Arabidopsis thaliana: one gene and its partners. The protein of the gene in region 2 interacts with the protein of the main gene of each other region in a pairwise test. Each region holds a gene or a part of one and is shown on either strand. Other genes may lie near its edges. The genes, in order: AT1G15610, ABCI12, DER1 and AT4G30660.

Region 1 (4,714 bases), on a different chromosome or scaffold from region 2:
AATTATAGTCATTTATAATAAAATGGTTATGATATTATTTGGTGCTAAATTAGTAGTTTTTTTTTTTTAAGTTATAGACTTAAAGTGAAACACAAAGCCTAGACGGAACCTTTTGTGCCATTTTAAGACCAATATACAGCATCATTAATCTTTTAAAAGTCAATTAAGTTAACTTCCACGTCGTTATGACAGCGACAGTTAATGGAAGGTAGCCAGAGAAGTCACTGAAGAAGAAGGTGGTTCTTCAAAATCGGATCATATTGATGAGATTAAATTGTTTGTTGTGCAGAGGTATTGGCGCACAAAGATCGAGTGTTAAATTGTTTAGTTGAATAAAAGTTCGCAACATTGCACTACATTTTGATGTGTGCTTTAATTTAAAGGCTACCTCTGCTCTGCATGCGACCATTCAAGTTTTCATGTATTATTCCACTCCATAATTGACCCCCAAGGCCCCAACTGATGCAAAAACACTAATATTTGGTTACGGCTGATTTCTTCAGTCATATATATGTGAAAAACCAATTAATGGTCTTCACACTCCCATATAGCAGGTTATCTATTAGTGCCCTTAACCGAACCCGATCGAGATTGATTGAAGTCATATCATCTCTATCAAGTAGTTATCATCTTCAGGTTCCTTGTGGGTTGTTTGATAGCATAAGAACATATATGTTATGGGTGCACTCTTAAAAAGAATTGTCGGGCGTGCCACATGCTGTCTCAACATGAAGCGCTTCATCAAGATGGCCAAAGAGGCCTTTTACAATAGACAAACCAGTTGTACATGTTGAAATGCAGATACTGAAATGTTTATCTTGCTGCAGAGATATTGGTACAGAGAAGCCTTTAGTTTCAGTTTTGCCGGCCATTTCAGGAATAGAGGATTCGGTAATGCTAATGACACTTGGCTTTATTTAATAAATAGAAAGAGAGTATTACAACAATTGTTGAAGAAAACAACATGATCCATCATTTTTATCCGCACATTCCAATGATCCACGAAAAGGTTAACGCAAAGAGTCCAATGATGACCAAAAAGAGTGAGAGTAACGAATTAATCATCGTTACTATGGCGGCCACAAGTGCAGTAACAAGGGACACCCCAGGCAACATGAATAACTGTACGGTAAATTGGAAATTAGGAAGCACATATCGAATGCAACTGAAAGCAAGTAGACCCAGCCATAACCTGGAAAAGGACATTTGTTAGTTCTAGAGAGGTAAATTATGTTGTTTAGCCATAATTGTAAATTTAGTTAGATGCGCACCAGAAGTGTCGACTAGTATCTTGACGTGATGATGACTCGGTTAGAATATGCCATAAAGACACCACAATCAAGGACACGAAGAAAGATTCAAGAAAATTTTCCAAACGGTACTCCATCACCTCGTTGCTGCAAATCAATAAAAACCATTGTTGAGGATATCAGTCTCTAATGCCTGAAAAAGAAAAAGAAACACAGTTTATACCTTGTCTCTGAGCTAGCGTTTTGGATATACTGCCATAAACGGCAACATACAAAAGGCAAAGTGGCAATAGAGGCACAAGTATAAAAGATGATCCATGTAAACAAAGCTACATCTAGTTCTGGATCTCGTTCATCTTTTGTTAGAATCAGAAAAAATATGGCTGCAACAATCTGGACCAAAGTCACAGCTAACTCGACCAAAATCCAGAAACTTCCACTTGTAAATGGACAACTCCATTGAAATGCCTCATGTGGAGTTTGCTCATGATCAGCTGATGACGAACCGCCATTGATTGTAATGTCGATGATGTGCTCATCATTTGAGGAAGAATCGCCATGGATTGTAACGTCTTCGACGTTGTGCTCACTCTTGGTTAACAAAGGGCCCTCCATTGATCACTTTTTTGCTTTCTTCTATTTTGTCCAATCGAATTAATAGTTCATCTAAACAAGCGTTGAAATACAAATTACATAAAGCCCTCTCCGATTCTTTGGTGCTAAATTATTATTCTAAGACCCAATCTACGTCAAGATCTATTCTATAAGTCAATTGTAAACTTCTAACGAACAAAAAAAAAGTTAGTCATTCTTCTCTAAATACGAATAATAGACATTTCCAGCTATATTATTATCTTAAGACCTAATCGACACCAATACCAATTCTAAGTCAATCACATAAAGTCCTTTACAATGAGTAGACTTTCGGAGCTACATTTGTTTTGTGTGTTTTTGTTTTACCTACACCAAGACCAATTATTAGTCAATTGTAGCCCGTTAGAGTAAAATTTCAAAATATTTGGTTCTAAATTATAGTCTTCCTAATTCTTTGGTGCTTGATGTATTATTTGGGAAGCTAGAAGAAGTAATATGTCTTTTTTGTAAAAGGAGAAATCTTTGGTGTTAAATTTTATTATTTGGGAAACTATAATATTTTATTATTTTTCTTAGTTATCTTATCTTTGGTGTTAAAGTTATCTATATATCCATTTCGATTTACCCAAATCTGTCAAAATAATAAGGCCTATAAAAGGTTATTCTGAAACACGTGATTATTTGGGTAAATGTCACAATGAGGTAGGACTCGACTCGAAATAAGTCAGATTTTAAAAAGCCCATTAAAGTACGGGCCCTTAAAATACATATCTGAATAGCGAAAACGCACGAATAAGAATGGTCAGTCAAAACTGTCATTTAATGGAGAATAATATTAACGAGGGAGAAAAATAAAATAAAAAGAGGAAATAAGACGAGATGATCATATTTGATCATTTCAAAAAACCTTAGCTACTGTTTTTCTCTACCTTAATAAGATTAAAATCATCAACATGAACACAAAACATTTTTATTCTGGTACTCTGCTTTACTTTGATTTTAAACGCCCATTCTCCTAGGCTTACAAACAAAATATTTTTATTAGTTCGATTTCAGCAGATGCATGATACAATGCATGCTACAATGCCTTTTAAGACTTCCACAGCAAGGAGAACACATATGACCACAGGCGTAAGTAAAAGCAAAGGAGTAGTATAACAGACCATTGCCAATGTTAGATTAAAAAGAACATATCTAATGCAACTGAAAGTAAGGAGAGCCAAACATAACCTGCAAAAGAGACAATGAAGAAGGCCAAAGGCATGAGTATAAGAAAGGTCAATATATACGTTTTAAGGTATACATATGATTGGAAATTTCGTTTGATACGCACCAGAAGTATTGAGTTGTAGTATCATCTAGAGCTGATGAGTCGAATGCTTTGGAAGAAAGAATCCATAAAAACACCACATACCAACCCACGAAGAAACCCGTCATAAAAAAGTCCATATCCTTGTTGATTCTGCAAACCAATAAAACCATTATATCTCAATCTAATGCATAAAAAGATAAAAGAAAACACAATTTATATATACCTTGTCTCTCTTAAGTATTCATCTGTAGATTCGGAGCCAACGCTTCGGTTATAAAGCCAAAAACGCCAACATAGGATAGGGAGAGTGGCAATACAGCCACATGTATAACCGATGATCCATATAGACAACATTGTTTGTGGATGTTCTTCATCTCTTGGCTCAATCAGAACGATTATGACCGCAGCAATCAAGACCAAAGTCACAACAAACTCGATTGAATTACAAATGCTTTCATTTGTGTATGGATCACCCAATTCAACACCCTCGTGTGGTTGCTGACCATCAATTGATGAAGAACTACCATCGCTTGTAATGTCAATGATGTGTTCACACTCGCTCAACAAAGGGCCCTCCATTGATCACTTTTGGTTTTTCCTATTTCTTGCCGATCAAATGAAAAGTTCATTCAAATTTGCGTTGACGAGCACAAAGCATATACCTTTCCTTCTTTGTTGATAAAATTATTAGTATTTTTTTAGACCAGATCAATACTAAGTACGTATTAGTCGTGTTACAAATAAAACATTATTTTGAAAAATGAAGATCAAAGCTGAGATTTCAATGTTTATATATATTGCAGATGTTTTGGACAAGTTAAATTGTTAATAGGTCAAATGATCTGTATGATATTTATTTTCTGTTTTAAGACAGACAACACAAGAAGACAGGATCGTATCTTTCAGTTTCCCACCACTTTTGTTTATTGAATGTGTACAATTACTCTTGAGCGAAAAAAAAATAAAAAAAAAATCAACCTCATCTCATCACCACCTAACTTGTGATTGACAGAGAGGGCATGTGGATTTGATTTTCAGCCATTTGTCTATACATTGCGAATGAAATACGTGTGAGCATTCAAGTTTCCTTAGTCCTACTCCTTTTTCCTCTCCATATTTCCCCAAGCATATGCAACAACTCTGCACACACCATCAAACCATGAAAATTAAACAACAACAACAACAAAAAAATGCTATTTAAAACAGAGTAATTAATGTGATATGAAATTATTACTCACATCATCATGGCTCGGTTTCTTGAAAACAAATCTACCTCCTATACCTTCCCTTACAGAATCTACATCATTTGATTTCAACTTATCCACATCATAGATATGAGAAAAAAATGTTCCAAACTCTAGTGAACATTAAGCGAAAAAAATACCTGCGCATAATAGTAATGCATATGCAAATCTAATGCAACTGAAAGCAATGAAGACTACACATAACCTGCCAAAACATAATCAAGAAGACAAAAGTTAGTACTGATTAGTTAGGGTTTAACTAAATCTCTACTGTGACATGATTGTGAGTCAAACCTGTAGAGCTTAGGAGTATC
Region 2 (5,538 bases):
CGGAGGAATTCCCTTCGGCGGCTAATAAATAAAGAAGAAATCGTGGTGGTAGAAATGAGGGAGGAGGAAGAAGAAAAGGGTCAAATAGTCCTTTTCTTCGATTCCTGCTCGAAATTTTTGTAAATTGGTTAAAATCTACAAATAATCTAATTTATGAGTTTTTTTGCTGGTTAATGGAATACTGGAATAAATAGAAGAAATTAGAAGAGATGACAAAAATGGAGAAAATGGCTTCTCTGTCAGAGCTTCGTTTCCTCGTAACGATGCATCTGTAACCTAAACACATAATTCTATTTTTCTTTTTGTTTAATTTAGTTTGTTTCCCTGTCCGTTTTTCCATTTTTAAATTTGATTTTCCACAAATCTAATTTTTGCTGAATTAATGTAATGTTGCTCTATGGGATTAATCAAACAAGCATTGGACTACATATATTGACATGTTTTAAATGAGAACTGTAAATATGAACTAATTCCAATGACAAATCTTTTTCAAGCTGTGATGATGGAAACAAGTGATTGCTTCCAATGCAAGAAACTATATTGCCGAAATATAGTTTGAGTGTTTTTGGTAGAATTCAAGATTGATGTTGTTTATAGAAGCAAGCACGAGTGGCTTGGGAAGACATTGACCCGTTATTTTCTAGAAAAAGATGTGAGACACTGTTTTCGTCTGCCTTTGTCTCTTCTGGACACGAAAACCATATCAAATCACACAAGGGTGTACCAGACTTTATCGAGTGAGATTGAAGAGATCACGCCCTTGGTTGGCTTGGGATCATCTTTCTTAACTCTTTAAGTATAGATTGTATTTTTGACGTAATTTGAAAGAAGAAATGTGGCAATTTCTTACACTTTTTCTAAAGGGTATTTGTTTCATTAGGTATAATTTCTTCGTGCAAAAATAGAAAACTTTGTCTGTTAGTGTTAGGTTATTATAATGATGAAACACATTCACAAGACTTAAATGTATGGGTGACAACTAGTATGGATTCAGTCATCTCATGGAGCAAGTTCTCAACAGTGCAAACCATTAATCCGAGTTGGAATATGTTTGCTGATGGGATGAGTTTCTTGGTCGGCGAGCATAACAAAGTTGTATTGTGTTACCCTAACCGGACCCCCAACGAAATCTTACACATTGGGGAAGAAATTTATCACATACAACATTTGGATGATCATGATAGAGATTCTACCTCAAGATCATCTTTTCTTCTGAATTATGTTCCAAGTTTAGCTCGAATAAAGATTAGTATGAATCAATATTAGACAAGAAAGTATTCAGACAAGAGTGCGGTTGAGATTACACCGATTAAACACAAAACTGATGCAAAATCTGCAAACTTATTCGAAGAGCCAGAGAAGAAGTAGATCTTGTGGCTACTGCTCTCTCCTCTGAAGCCTCTAACAATCATGGCCTGCATGCACATAAATTACAAACTTCTTCAACAGAGAATTCTTATTTGATTCTCAAATCAATGAGATGATAATAAGTGAAATCTATTTGACCTGTGATATTTGTTCGGCATGACGAAATATATTCTTGAAGATGCGGCGTATGAATGACGCGAAAACTACAAAAAGCGATCACTTGTAAGATGAGATGTATATAGAAAGAGAGAAGAAACTTTTAGATTCTTACTATCAAGTGTCTCCAGAACAGTAAGCTGCTGCCAGTTTACTCTTCGCGATACAATTCCCAGTGAAACACTTCGGACCTACAATGTAACATATGCACAACGTACCATTATGTGGTTTAGGACTTGGAATAACTAGGCTGATTGATAATATTAAAGCGAATAAGTGAACAGTCGTTACCTCATCGAAAACCAAATTAATGAATCTCAGTGAAAGCAGTAGCGTGAGGATAATTTCACTGACTGGAACACCAATATATGTCAATGGGAACAAGAACCAACGTAGAGCTAGTGCAAGTTGCTCTGGTGTTGTTGTTGCAAGGCAAATACTAGCACTTTGGAAGATCTGTGACCAAAAACCAAATGTTCCATTAAGTGATCTAATCAAGAAAGGAAATAGGTAAACCGCGGAAGTCGAAAAACCGACTTACAATAAAGGTTAAGCATGCGGCTGTGCTTCCAACAGACAAACCTTTCCTTGTGAATTGCAAAGGACCAAGCTTCAGTAACATGTACGAATAACCGCTTAAAGACATGGGAAGATTAGGCAAGCTTGTGATTGAAGATGGTGGTGTTCTTGATTGAAGCATTGGAGGTGCACCATCTGAACCTAGCCCCAATGTTATGAAGAGAATACCCGAAAGAAGCGACACTCTCGCCAATTGATCCTTTACAGAAAAAGTTAGGAAACTCAGCAGAGCAGATAGATCACATATAGAAACAGAGTTGTGACAGAGAAACAGAACTCACTATCCAAACTTGTCTTGGGAGAACAAGGATTGACAAAAGAGCTGTGCATAGAACAAGTCCTAAACGCACAACTAGATTTGCTCTTGCTGGAAGAACTACTAGAGTTAATAGCCATACCTACACATATATACAAATACCAAAATTCAAGCTTTAACAAAAAAAAAAAGACTCAAACTTTTTAACAAAATTGGATTAGAAATTTGATAAGAATCAAGAATTCAATATACCAATTTGATTCTGGGATCCACCGAGTGGAGAAATGTCACAGGAGACGATATGAATTGTCCGATGGGACTTCCGGTGGCGCTTGAAATCAATCTGAAGACGTTTTCGGCTCCAAGTCCTGGAATTGGTAACCGGTTCACCCAATTACCGGTTTTACCGTCTCCGTCGACGGTGGCTCTGACAATGAAAACCCTTTTCGCGGCGAGAGAGGAGGAAGGAGTCTCATTAAGCCGGAGCGGGAAGAGAAGCTTAGGGTTTGTAAAGTTCCGGTTAGGAATTGGAGATGTGAGATGACGAATTGGGTGTTTGGGGATTAGGGTTACGGTGAGGGAGACTGTTGGATTGGCAAGATTGGAGTGATTCATGAGTTTTCAATTTCGGATTGGATCAGACATATGCCCTAGAGCGGGAAATTCTGTACTTGGTAGAGAGAGAGATACTGTAAACTGTCAAGTGTTAAACTGTTGTACTTGTTGGTTTTGTCGGACGTTGACTGTGGTTCTCAACTTCTCATAATAACAAAAGTCAAAGTATACCAAAATTTGGATTTCGGTTCTTGTTCGAATTTGATGTATATATAGACTCGTTTTGGATTTTCTCACACTCTTTTTGTATAAATCTTTTCTCGTAGAGTCATAGCCACACCAAAACCAAGATTAAGTAATTTGATACAATACAGCATATGAAAATGTAACTTAGCTTTTAAGATAGATAACATATTACTGCCTAGGAGCATTTTTGACAATTTTTGAGGTGATGGAAAAAGTTGGCTCGAGAGCTTTTTGAATATTCCAGGCGGTTCGGCCTAAGCTGCCCGTTGTTTCCAGTATTATTCCGGTGGTTTTTCCGGCTTTCTCTCCAAAACTTTGGTGCGGTCATCACAAAAATGTGAATATGTGTTACACTCAACTCAATAAATGTATAAAATTGTAAAATTCGATGGTCATGTAAACATGTTATATAACTCATCTAAACAATCCTAACAAATAAAAATGATAACCTATCTCTAAAAATCATTAGCTACCCCTCAAAACTATTTGGTAATTAATTATTAGATTGTATGCACGCTATACAATAATTCTACCAACTTCGATTTTATTTTCTACCGATATAATCATTCTTTTGATTCAAATACCGGTGTGTTACTATAGAAACATAATTCATTCTCAAAATTGAGGATCACAAAGTGAGCTTTTTACCTCTTACTCACAAGTCTAGTAGCAGCCATGGATGTGGCATAATGAGTTTGTATTTCTGCCGCTTCAGCAGCACCAATTATATTATCTATTGACCACATCAAAGTGTTTATCTGTTTTATTTAAATTTTGATCTCAAAAACTTCAAAATAAATGAATATGAGTATAGATTGACAATTAATGGAGCTATTCTATGTAACTTACGAAAAGAATCAAGTGATGCCAAGATAACCTCTCCTGGAGCAGTGGATAACAATGCCTTCCCTAACTTCGACTTAACCACCGGAGCTATCATCGAACTGCTCACCAAATCTCCACCTTCTAAGGCCGCCATTCCTATAGCCTCGCTCACCTTCCACAGCTTCTCCGCTCTATGTATATGTTACATCCAACAAAATAACCAAGATTTGGTTCATTATAAGAAGGAACAAGAACCAAGATTTTATTGTTTGGTATAATATATACTATTTTGTGGGATAGAGATTAAAATATGAATACCTTTGAAGATTTTTGTTGAGTTTATTCTTCTTATTAGTTTCATTGTTGCCACCTCCATCAATTTGTGATATGTCACCACTTCTTTCCTCATCCTCTTCAGCAATCGTTCCTTCCTCGTGAATCTGTTTTTGTTGTAAGAAAATAAAACGATATTAATAATAAAAAATACTACAATATGTGCGTCTTACATCTCCATGTTCATATAAAAGTTTTTAAAAATCCAACACAAAAATAAGATGATCTATACTAGTAAATAAAACACATAAGTCGTTCCACAAGTTGGGTTTGAATTGGAAGTTCATGATTCTTTACTACAACAAATATTTCGATTCAAATCACAATCATCTATTAACACTCATAAGCATCATGAGAGGGACTTATATGTATGAGACCTTCTTAGAGTAAGAATTGCTACAAGTGAAGATTCCCTTGATGATATGCCCTGTTCCTACCGCGATGGCCTTGGCTACACCATTTTTGTAGTCTTCAGCCTTCGGTGCAAACTTTTTCCAATCAATTTCATTGTTGTTCTTACCTGAAGTACTTGAAGATTTCTCCCCCATGATATCTCCAAGAAACTCAGGGTTTTCCATGATTTCTCCGTCTTCCCCTAAGAAACTCAAGGCTAGCTCCAACAGTTCGGATTTATCGACGATTTGGACTCCGTAATCGGGATTCTCCAACAAAACTTCTTCGTTCACCGCTTGGGCAGATTGGTTTTCTTGGGTTGATGTGGACATTGTGTCTTCTTTCTTAGTACAGTAGTACTTTTAAGTTTGGTTTATATGTGAGGCTCGTTCCTATATAATGTTGGATGATCGAAGGTAATGACGTAAACACTTACCATTTGATCATATTAATAACCAACAAAAATGTAAGACCATAAAATATGATCATATAGCTTGGTAGTGAAGAATAAGTAAAATTTTCTAGTTGTATAACTAGCAAGTTGTTTCAACAGAAGATGAGAGAATACCTTTTCTTAATATATGATTTCATCTATAGAAACAACTTCTAAATTTGACCATACGTGTTATGTTTTCCAAGACTTCATCAAGTTGCTTGTTTAACTGGTTTTTGTAGAGTTTACATTGGTGTTTTGTGATATCATTCTCCTAAGGTATGTTATACATAATCCCAAGTGTGTTATTCTTCTCTGATGAATTATATTCCCCCAAAATTGAGTTTTATATGTTTTGTTTCAATAGTTGACAAATAGAATTAGTTCTACGCAA
Region 3 (6,483 bases), on a different chromosome or scaffold from region 2:
TAAGCTCGAGTAAATTTATGGTAATTCGCATTTCATATAGAATTTTACATTTTATTCCGCTGTTTGGTTAGAGTAATTAGGACTTATGTACCAATTTAGAAGGTCTATATGTTACGTTCCATACTAATATTGTAGGTGATAAAATGCACTTACCTCTCTTGATGTTCATAAGTTATAGGACAATAAAAGCCTTTTGGTAAAGAAAAGAGAGAGAGATACTATTATTGAATGGATTATTGCAAAACTTTAGTACCCTAATTGATTTAAGGAACGTACTATTTGCTTCACTGAAAATGATTCATTGCCATCCATAATATTCTTTTGATATCTTCTGCTCTAACTTGGATATATGTTAGCCAAAAACAATAAAAACATCTCGATCACGTGCAAAGATCTTGAAATAGATATGTCTCTCTATTTTTTAATGTCTATGAAAGGACGTAACAAGTTTCTCTTCTATTTCGCATTTGGTAATACATTAATGTTTTAAGAAGACATTTGCCCAAGTTGCTAATTTTTTCTTTTTTTCCTGATGAATATTCAATGCATCTATGGCTTTGACAAAAAAAGAGATAAAAAATGAAGGAAACAAAATAACCAATGCATGTAAGTAATAATACTCTTCTCGCAAATGAAAACAAAACCTCGAACAATCAATTTACTAGCTATGCGCTAGGGCCAAGCTACTATACTAGGCACTAGGTCCGATTTATTCAGAATCAGTTTTGATATGGATATTGGTCGGATTCGTTCAACCCACTGATTCCAATTTGGTTTTGAAAAACAATGTTCGGCCATTTGCATCCAGAGTTATTTAAATCACGAAAAATATAGTTTGCTATTTATCATATACATACGGAATTTGCATGTTAACACTATTGATCAACTAGATTTTTCTAATGTTATATTTTTTTTGGTGGGGAAGTATTGAACTTACCTTACCACTCTTTTTCGATTCAAATACTAAGAATCACATTTATCAGTTGTGAGTTTAGCTAAATATGTGGGTGGTTTTAAATTTGTGAGTATTAAATTTGTCATTTCTATCACAAAACAATGGGAGAAAAAAACGAAAAACTAGTTTCCCGACATTAAACATGCGAATTACTGAAACATGGATAGGTCCACCATTTTTGCCATTTGACAAGCTCGGTCTCTTGTTTTCCTTGTTCATAAATGATTTTAGTTTGTTTGCTTTTTTAAACGCATCTTTCTATCACTTTTTTCTTTTGGTTGCAAATATGTCGTTTTCTCTCCTCCCTCCTTTTCCGGGATTTAACTTATCACAATGTAATGAAATTTGCATGTTCCTCTCTCGCCATTGGCAAGTTCCATTGCGATGTCTCTATCGATAGGTCAAACAATCCAAAAGAACCAAAACCTTTTTTCTTTTCTTTTCCACTCACATTTAATCTAGGGACCCTTTAATCTTATTCATTTTCTCAACGATAATGTAAAAAAGTATAGTTAGTAAACTGTTAACTGTGTAGATTATACATGTTTTTTAATCAATCATATAATTAGAAGGGGTATTTAGCCGTCCAAAAGCTGTTTTCGCGTGACTATGCATGAAACCCACTTACGTAGCCTCCAACGTAACGACCAATAAAAAGCTCTAACTTAGGAACATTACAACGAACTAATATTTAATAAGTTATATAAGGTCATGAAATGAAATCTTATAACGTATCTAACAACTCACATGATCTATACCATGTCACATTTTTTATCAAACATATGTTAACCACCTAAGCACTAACACTACTCTTTGATCAAACTTATATTTCGCATATACTCCAAAAGAAACCAAGTGGCATATTGGCATATCTCGTAATGTGGTGCCAAAAATGCTTATCAACTTAATTATAGTTCAGATATTGTCTCCGTATCGTATCTTAATATTTGTATTCAACAATAGGTATTATGTTGTATTAGCTAGGTGTGATTTGTAACGAGAAGAGATATCTCGTTCTATTGTGAGGTAAAAATAAAATAAAGCAGTACAAGAACATAACGGTATAAACGGTTTTTACTGTTAAAAAACTTGTAATTGTTTATGTACCAACCCTATTGATTGTGTTTAAGAAATTATTTTTAAATCTTGAGATTCTTATTCAAATATAAACATTGAAGATCGATATTGCTCAATATCACAATAATCTTTCTAAGTTATGAAAAGAACGTCTACTACTATTTGTTTAAAACTACATAGGACAACATCAAATCAGTTTTGAAATTCATTGTAAAATTCTTTTAATACTAAAATTGTTTACAGTTAATGAGAAATTACAATATTATTTTTAGCAGATTATAATTAGAAAATACATTATTATTATTGATCAATTTACCTTGCAGTTCCACGCAAAACCAACAAAATAACAAATAACAAAGCATTGTGTGGAATGACGTAAGGATGAGTCAGCAGACAAGGAGTGAGATCGAATCGGGTCAAGATTATCTGGTTGGGACCCGTCACATGCACATGGACCCTCTCCCGTACCTAATCCAGGTTAAATAATCTTGATTTTCTGTTTAATTACCTTAAAAACACATTATTATTGAAACTAATAATAAATCTCGGATCTTTGGTTCCGACCATACTTGCGAAAGATCATTGCTTTAATGCTAATGTTTCTCTAATTTTGATATTCCTTGAGATTAGATTCCCTTTGCATTGTCTTTTCTTGTTAATTTGTTAGGGTTCATATTCTTACATTATTTTTTTTGGCAAAGAAAAAAACATTTATAAACATATCTAATTCGAGCCTGATCTATTAATGGGTCAAATAAAAGCCTCTTTGGCCCAATTCAATAAACTGGCCAACTGGGGATCATCATAGAGACAGACTACTAGAGAGTAGAGACGCATCAGAAAGAAGAGAAATTGATCCCACAAGTTTAAACACGATTACAAATTAAAACGTGCCACGTATTCAAGACGGTGAATTAACACGACGTGGCAAGGTATGATTGGATAACTTACGCAGCTGCCTAACAAAAACAAGTGATTTGAGTTTTCAGATGATTAGAAGGAAAAAAAATTCTGGAACTTTCGAGCTTCTGTTTTGCGGTGCTCTCAAAGCTTATATCGGATCTCGAATCTTGAATCGGACTCAGAACCTCGGATCTTCGAAAATCGACGAACATGTCTTCTCCTGGCGAGTGAGTTCCGTTCCCCTCTATTGAAACTTTGCTTCGATTCGATTTTGATCGAGAGATTCTTAGCTTGGTCTTCGTACCCAGGATTTTGAGTCCTTAGGTTAATAATTTTCATGATTCGTTTAGCTTGTATAGGGGTTTTTGAAGCATTCAACTGTTGATTCTTCTCAATTCGAGCGTAATTTTGCAACACCAAGCGAGTTCTGTGAACTTGAGCTAACGCTATTTTTAGTATATAGTTATCAATTTGCATTGTCATCATTTGATATTTTGGTGATTTGAGATGTAAAGAAACATCTTTTATGCCATGGAAGTTAGTACAAGTCAACTGGTAGTTAGTTCTTGAAATATGGAATCTCATAGTGTCTTGAAGCAAAACTGTTCTCGTTTGCTGTATCATAGTTACAAGGCTACTTTGATTCTCCTAGCTACGATAGTCTAAAATATCTCTGCGTAGGCTTGTCTCTTGTGGTAAAGTTTTATGCTTTAGCTGATCTTGATGACATTTCCTGATTAGAAATTTATAGATGGATGGAATATGTATGATTTTGATTGTTTATCTGTCAAATTGTTTCTTAGATCGCTTGTTATTGATTGCAGATTCTATAACTCACTTCCACCTATAACCAAGGCTTATGGTACGTTGTGCTTTTTCACTACAGTAGCCACGCAGCTTGGCTTAGTTGCTCCCGTTCACATTGCTTTAATTCCTGAACTTGTACTTAAGCAGTTCCAGGTATATGATTTATTCTTTTTTATGATTTTCCTTTCTTTCTCACAAATCTCTGTCATCCTAAGTTCCTAATTCATTCTGCAATTTTTGATCTATTTGGTGTTTGTAGATCTGGAGGCTGATAACAAACTTGTTTTTCCTCGGTGGTTTCTCTATCAATTTTGGAATACGTCTTTTGATGATGTGAGCATACTATTTTCACATATATAGATGAACAAAGCTAATTTCGATTTTTATTATCTTAACATACTCTTTTAAATGATTGTGCAGAGCAAGATATGGAGTTCAACTCGAGAAAGGGCCATTTGAAAGGCGGACAGCAGACTTTTTGTGGATGATGATCTTTGGATCCTTCACTCTATTGGTATGTAAAGCCTCCCCTGTATTCTATTCTTACTGATCATTGTTATTGGTTCTTTGAGAACCCCAGTACTAGTATGTGGTATGCCACAAAGTAGATAATCGCTGGTACATAATATCCCAAAGCTGAGAAGATCAGAAGCTCTCAAAGAATTGAATCAGGGTTGCATTTTATTAAAGCGAGACAAAATTTTGGAAGGTATTCATACTAGTAAATCCGTGTGTTAAAACAGTTACCTTGTTCAAATTTCAGGTATTATCAGTCATACCATTTTTCTGGACACCGTTTCTTGGTGTTTCACTTGTGTTCATGCTTCTTTATCTCTGGAGCCGAGAATTTCCAAATGCCAACATCAGCCTATACGGTCTTGTCACTCTTAAGGTATTGAAAGTGTTTCTTTTGTAATCAAATCCACTCCTTGGTATATATAATGTTAATGGTGAAAGTTGGAATTACTCCACAGGCTTTCTACCTCCCATGGGCAATGCTAGCACTTGATGTTATCTTCGGTTCTCCGATCATGCCAGATCTTCTTGGCATCATAGCTGGACATCTATACTACTTCCTAACAGTCCTTCATCCTCTTGCTACCGGAAAAAACTACCTGAAAACCCCAAAATGGGTGTATCCTTTATTCAAATTCTCGATTATTTCCAGATGATTGTTTCTCTCGCTTCTCAGTTTTTGTTTTGCTGTTGTACCTTGACATTCTCAACAGTAATAAAATCGTAGCAAGATGGCGAATTGGAGCTCCAGTTGCAAGTGTTCGACAAGCAGGTGGTGTAGGAGCAGCAGGACCCGGAGCTGGAGGAGGAGTAGGAGGAGGAGGAGCTTATTCAAGCGCTCGTGCCCCACCCGAGAGTTCAAACACAGCATTCAGAGGTCGATCATATCGTCTCACCGACTGAAATAGAAATCTTCTCGAGTTTCTTTGTTTTCATCATATCAAATCTTTTTCAAACAATGCCACTAACTAATCCCAGGTAGCTTTGTGTTTTCGAACAGTACAGTTTTTGAATATATGACTCTGTAGGAAGAATCTTTGAGGTTTTAATACAATGTTCTTTTCAAAATGTGGTTCATGTTTCTATGTTTTTGTTTTTGTCTAGCAATCATCTCCTTACTAAATTGAATTCGATAAACTATAGCCACTATGAATATAATCAAATGAAATTTGTGACATAAGAATTTGGACGTAACGAGTTTGAATATCTATCTAGATAAGTTATTAAATTCGTGACCAAAGAGTTTGGTCGTAACAAGTTTGAATTTTTTAGGACATAATATTATTATTGGCTAACAAGATTACGACTAACGAGTAAATAATCATTCCTTCGGTCCTTCCTCTAAAATGCCGTTGGTGATCGTTTATAAATAGGGGAAATAGGAAAAGGGAAGAAAGTAGACGTGGCAAATAGCGAAACAATGATTGAGCTATAACAAAGGCGAAACTTGAGCGGCACTAATTGAAAATCACTCCTTGTTTTTTTGAAGAAAAAGTAAGATGTAGGGCTGAGAATTCGTCTATGTGATCCAACGGTTTTAAAATGATCCTTGTTCCTTCCTCTCCTATTTATCTGAAGGACGAAGTCCCCACGCTGCACATAACCGGGGCACTTAACGTATAGATCATAAACAAAGAAGAAGAAAAAAAATAAGAAAAGAAGAAGAAGATGTCGTGGCAAACTTACGTTGATGAGCATTTGATGTGTGATGTTGGCGATGGTCAAGGACACCACCTTACTGCTGCCGCTATCGTTGGTCATGACGGTAGCGTTTGGGCTCAGAGCGCCAACTTCCCTCAGGTATTTGATTTCATTGCGTCTGATCTCAATGTGATTTAGATCCTGATAGTGTTGCTATCCGATATGATATGTGTTTTTACAATGTGATTTAGATCATGCATCATGTTTTGATTAGATTCTATCAATGTTTGTCATGGGATATATATATAGTGTATTTTGTGTGTGTGTGTTTCTTTTTATATGTTTTGCATAGATTTGAAAACAAATGATGCATGTTGTCTCATGGTAATCGACTAATCGTGATTTGGTCTTTCATATAGTTCAAGGGACAGGAGTTCAGTGATATTATGAAAGATTTCGACGAACCGGGTCACTTGGCACCCACGGGATTATTCATGGCAGGAGCAAAGTACATGGTGATCCAAGGTGAGCCCGGGGCTGTAATCCGTGGCAAGAAGGTAACCTAATCAGTAGCTTCATGATCA
Region 4 (4,607 bases), on a different chromosome or scaffold from region 2:
GAATGCAGGTATAGTGAACATTGTTCCTTTGTTTATTCTTACCATTAACAACAACCTCTTTAAAACATCTACTACATGAATTCAATCAAATTCAGTTACAATTAGAACTAACTACTAGGCACCATTTCCCTTCGACCACTATTTGCCTTACGTTGGAAATTCACTAAATTCCATTTCACATAAGAAAACGATAAATAATAACATTTGGGTCTGTTACCCATTAGGCTTAATTAATCATGATCCTCCCTTACGTAATTAGATTTTGCCTCTCGGAAACTTTCTTTGTTGCTGGCAAAAGGAAAGTTTCTTTGCTAATAAGTAATAAGTATCCCAATAGTTAAATACAATAATAGTATTAAACATCATTTCAAAGAAGAAGTAGCCCATGTTTAAGCCATGGTCGTTTCGTTACCTAAGCCTAGCGATATTATAAATACTAATTCTTTTGCACACATAATGCGTCCCATCATTGTAAAATTAACACATATTTCTGATTTTTTTCGATCAGATACATGTATATACACACATATTATTTGATAAAACAGAAATGAGGACTTCACTGGCATTTTCTTGTTCATTGATTGTACTCCTATTGTTACTCTCTCAGCCTTTGCCAATTTCATCTGAAAATAAGGAGAGTGAACGAAGACTTGCACAACACGGTGACTCCAATCCGTTGGATCATCATGACTCTCTTCGAGTTTTCATGAGGAAAGCTCGTTTTGGTGGTGTTGGTGGTGGTAGTCGTGGTGGTGGTCGTAGCCACCGTCGTGTCCCCAGTAGTGGTCATGGTGCGGGTGGATCATCCGCTACTAGTCGACCTTGTCTCTCGATGGCATTGCGCTACGGTTCCACGGTCGCGAGCTCAATTCTGTTGATGTTCTTCGCCTTCTAATTAAACTCTTTTTTTTTTTAACCTTTCAATTTAATAATTTAATTTGTGCCTTGCGAAAACACTATGTCAACAACCTGATGCATAAGCACACATAGCAGGAGGGTTCATAAGCTGATAACAGAAGAAACTTTCAATATTGCATATAAATGACACACAAACGTTTTCAAATCTCTGAAAACAACTGCAAAGCAACTTTATTGGTACAAGTCAAAGCAACACAGTTCCAAAGAAACAGAAATCAAGCAGAGTAGATGGGGCGTCTGTATTCATCAAAGTACTCTTCACGGTGCTGAAACACAATCACGTAAATCGCATATATTATCCCCGGGACATAGCCTAAGATCGTCAACACCAGGCATATCAAAAACTCCACCTGCCAAAACAAACCACACATAAAAAAAATTCAACTTTCTTCAAATGATTATCCAAGCTTTCAGGAATCAATGAATCAAACATAAATTGATCCAATCCAGAGAATTTCTGCGATTCATATCATAGATTAAGCACTCCCTTCATTACTCATACCAAATTACATTATAATCAATCCAAAATTACAGTCTCTATAAGAAGTTCCAGGATTCTTCAAAATTGAGGAATTCGAAAGAGAGAGAGAGAGAACTTACAGTGCAGCATCCTTTCCTGAAGCAAACTCCGAGAGGAGGAAGAAGGATCGCGATAATGATCTCGCACAGAATCTCACAGTTGCTCGGCATTTTTTCAGAGAGATGAGATGAGAGAAGAAGAAGCTTTAAGAGTTTTTTTAAAAGACAAAACACTGAAACTTGCTGTCACAGAGTTGAGAGTACCAATGAAGAGAGATCAGTCCACGTTTTATTTTGTTTCCACTACAAAGTCAATGTGCGAGATCTGCACCGTTCATTTATTGATATTTAAATCGTACGGCTTTAGATTACATCTCGTGAATCACAACGAACGATATGGTGCACCCTTATCACATCAGATCACTTTTAGATATTTTAGTCTCTGACTCATCCATGTGACTAAATGGGCCTGGGAAGGCCTGTCTATTTTATTAATCCCGGGACCAGACTGGAATTGGACAGAAACGTTTTGACTCAAACGGTGTCGTATTACTGAGACTTTGATTCCTCAACTCACAATCATTGTCATTATTTGCCAAAGTAACAGAAATCTATCTTTTTTAGCATAATCTATACCATAATATATGTTGGCATCATACAAAATCCTTTCAAACTCAAAAATGCTTCCGCATTTTGCGAAGTTTAAACTCCGGTAAATACAATCTTGGCAAAGAATTTGATACATTAACTCTTAGGAAGGTCCGTAGCCTGACTTTGCAAAAGCCAACAAGTTATACATCAAAAAGATAAGCAATGTATCAATAACGCGACAATGTTCTCAAATCTTCAATACATAAAAATTGCAAAGCAACTTATTATTTGGTACATGATAAGTAAAACAGTTTCAACAACATATTGATCCGTGTAATGGACCAAAACAGATCAAGCTGAGTTAAGTGGAGCTCCAAGTTCGGTAGAGCCTTCACGGTTTTGAAACACGATCACGTATAGTGCATAAATTATCCCTGGGATGTATCCTAAGATTGTCAGCACCAAGCAAATCAAGAACTCTACCTGCAAAAAAACTAAGAGTCAGATTTTCTAAACTAAATCTCAAGATTCATGATTCCAAAATTCCAATAACTTACAGTGCAACAGCCACGTTTGAGACAAACTCCAAGAGGTGGAAGAAGGATCGCGATTAAGATCTCGCAGAAAACTTCCATGTTGCTCGCCATTTTTTCAGAGATGTGAGTGAAGAAGATTCTTGAATGTGATCTGAATTAGTGGAGAAGAAGAGAACACTGAAAGTAGTCGGTAGCACAGAGATCCAATTAAAAGAGCAATCCACGGCTTTTTATTTTTGGCGCTACCAAGTCAACTACGAGATCTGCACCGTTTATTTGTTTGGTATATAAATCGTACGGCTTCAGCTTACATGCCGACATCTCGTAAAATTACCTTACCTTGCCCCCACTCTTTAGATATTTTCATCTCAAGAACACGCAAGGTATGGTGCAACACAACACACCTGATCATTGTGGGATATTATTACTCTGACTCGCCCCCTTATCGTACGGTTAATGGATCACGTGACTAAGTTGGCCTAGAAGGCCTGTCTTCTATTGTTTCCGGGACCGGACTTTGATTAGCCCAATTTTTCTGTTGCTTGCTTAGATGGCAAGCTATCTCAGTACATTTACTTAACCCATTTCCCTCAATGTTTATTTCACTTAACACTATGATTCAGACCTAAAGCAATGAAGAATATTAATAGAACACACCAAAAGTTGGGAATTTAGTGACAAGACAAACTCACAAAGAAAAAGGGTTTCACATTGTTTTAGGAATTCAAACATAGATAAGAACAGAGTAAAAAATGCCATAGAGGAAGCTCTGAGCATAAAAACCGGTCAACAAGTTGATCAAAACGTGCGTCCAACAAAAACCAAACACCATCATTCCTCTCTTGGATTACCAGGTCTTGGAACGCGTAAAACAGCAATCGGAGGATTGAAATCCGGCTTAATGATCTCCGTCAAATTCTTCAAGCCCGACGTATTAGTGTTTATATCACTTCTGGTCAATGATATACATCCGCGTAAGTCCATGTACTCTAGATTCGAACATCCCTTACAAACCGAGTCAAGTCCTCTAGCAGTCAATGTGGAGTATCGAATCTCCAAATGCTTGAGCTGTGTCATGTATTTCCCAATTATTCTAGCCTCTATATTCCCATATCTAGGAAATGTAGCCAGATAGTCTAGTGGCGCGACGATTGTTGGCAGGCTAGGACCTAGCCGGGGCAACAAATTCCGTTTCAGAATCTTTAAATTTTGGCAACTCCTCCCCAATGTTATCAGAGACTCGTGAGTTATGCCATAAGAGTAGCTTATATCAAGTTCTCTAAGATTTGGACAGTTCATAGCTATCTTCTCCATTGACGCATCTGTAACATTTGGGCAGTTCTTTATCCAAAGTACCTCTAGATTAGGGCACCTGCAAATGGAAACCACATGACATTTTATTCATTCTATCAAAACTCTGCGATTAACCTCTATGGACTCAAGCTAAAACTGAGAATTATCACGAAAAGTGATACGTACCTCTCGGCGGCGTAAGATAGAGAGCGTTCTGTACAATGCCTGATCCGAATCTCTGTGAGACCTCCTTCACTCCGATCAACAACAGATCGGAGAAATGAATCGACTTTATCCTCAAACTCGGGAGTCCACCAGTTGATCGACTCAGGGAACGACAGAAACCGAGTTTCGAGGTCGAAGATGGTGTTTAGTGTCGGGTCATAGCATGCGTTCATCCAGTTCTTGCTGACCAGCATCGGTCCAATCCATCTTTGTTCCTGGCTTAGCCGTGAGAAGATGTCAAGAAGACATTCTCGAGTCAACTCAGACCAGTCAGGGTAGAGTCCCGATCCCATCTCCACCTTTCCTTCCCCGCCGTTGACTTCCATAGGATTGAAGAACGCTTCGTCGTTTTGAGTACGAATAGACTTGAAATGTTGAGACTTTTTTTTATCGTCAATGGAATAAATGTAGTCAATGGAAACAAAAATGCTGAGACTTTTTCAGCTTCTATAATCAAGCATGCTCTTTACCTATTACAAAACAGAGCTTTTTTTTATTGGTCATTAGTAACCTTTCCAATTTTGA

Evidence for each region.
Region 1: the proteins of ABCI12 (region 2) and AT1G15610 interact in a protein complementation assay, tested with the Arabidopsis thaliana proteins (one large-scale study listed by BioGRID).
Region 3: the proteins of ABCI12 (region 2) and DER1 interact in a protein complementation assay, tested with the Arabidopsis thaliana proteins (one large-scale study listed by BioGRID).
Region 4: the proteins of ABCI12 (region 2) and AT4G30660 interact in a protein complementation assay, tested with the Arabidopsis thaliana proteins (one large-scale study listed by BioGRID).

What each region holds. Positions count from the first base shown.
Region 1 is NC_003070.9:5,367,944-5,372,657, reverse strand, and holds AT1G15610 (uncharacterized protein), read right to left. Parts: upstream 1,902-4,714; 5' UTR 1,866-1,901; coding exon 1,474-1,865; intron 1,398-1,473; coding exon 1,272-1,397; intron 1,193-1,271; coding exon 979-1,192; downstream 1-978. Other genes in the region: AT1G15600 (uncharacterized protein), read right to left, coding at 2,897-3,074, 3,178-3,306, 3,380-3,735; AT1G15590 (E3 ubiquitin-protein ligase), read right to left, coding at 4,426-4,453, 4,695-4,714.
Region 2 is NC_003074.8:7,600,747-7,606,284, forward strand, and holds ABCI12 (cobalt ion transmembrane transporter), read right to left. Parts: upstream 3,154-5,538; 5' UTR 2,975-3,153; coding exon 2,612-2,974; intron 2,502-2,611; coding exon 2,385-2,501; intron 2,303-2,384; coding exon 2,066-2,302; intron 1,981-2,065; coding exon 1,816-1,980; intron 1,716-1,815; coding exon 1,640-1,715; intron 1,572-1,639; coding exon 1,507-1,571; intron 1,416-1,506; coding exon 1,263-1,415; 3' UTR 1,076-1,262; downstream 1-1,075. Other genes in the region: AT3G21590 (Senescence/dehydration-associated protein-like protein), read right to left, coding at 3,805-3,893, 4,010-4,176, 4,304-4,425, 4,696-4,769, 4,839-5,043.
Region 3 is NC_003075.7:14,441,792-14,448,274, forward strand, and holds DER1 (DERLIN-1), read left to right. Parts: upstream 1-2,761; 5' UTR 2,762-3,145; coding exon 3,146-3,162; intron 3,163-3,759; coding exon 3,760-3,895; intron 3,896-4,001; coding exon 4,002-4,075; intron 4,076-4,162; coding exon 4,163-4,256; intron 4,257-4,505; coding exon 4,506-4,634; intron 4,635-4,716; coding exon 4,717-4,877; coding exon of another isoform or gene 4,878-4,914; exon of another isoform or gene 4,915-4,971; coding exon 4,972-5,161; 3' UTR 5,162-5,446; downstream 5,447-6,483. Other genes in the region: PRF4 (profilin 4), read left to right, coding at 5,927-6,058, 6,319-6,456. UniProt on the Arabidopsis thaliana protein: May be involved in the degradation process of specific misfolded endoplasmic reticulum (ER) luminal proteins.
Region 4 is NC_003075.7:14,952,471-14,957,077, reverse strand, and holds AT4G30660 (Low temperature and salt responsive protein family), read right to left. Parts: upstream 1,700-4,607; 5' UTR 1,609-1,699; coding exon 1,519-1,608; exon of another isoform or gene 1,269-1,518; coding exon 1,134-1,268; 3' UTR 1,078-1,133; exon of another isoform or gene 918-1,077; 3' UTR 907-917; downstream 1-906. Other genes in the region: AT4G30662 (uncharacterized protein), read left to right, coding at 548-895; AT4G30650 (Low temperature and salt responsive protein family), read right to left, coding at 2,380-2,511, 2,586-2,675; AT4G30640 (RNI-like superfamily protein), read right to left, coding at 3,396-3,936, 4,044-4,408.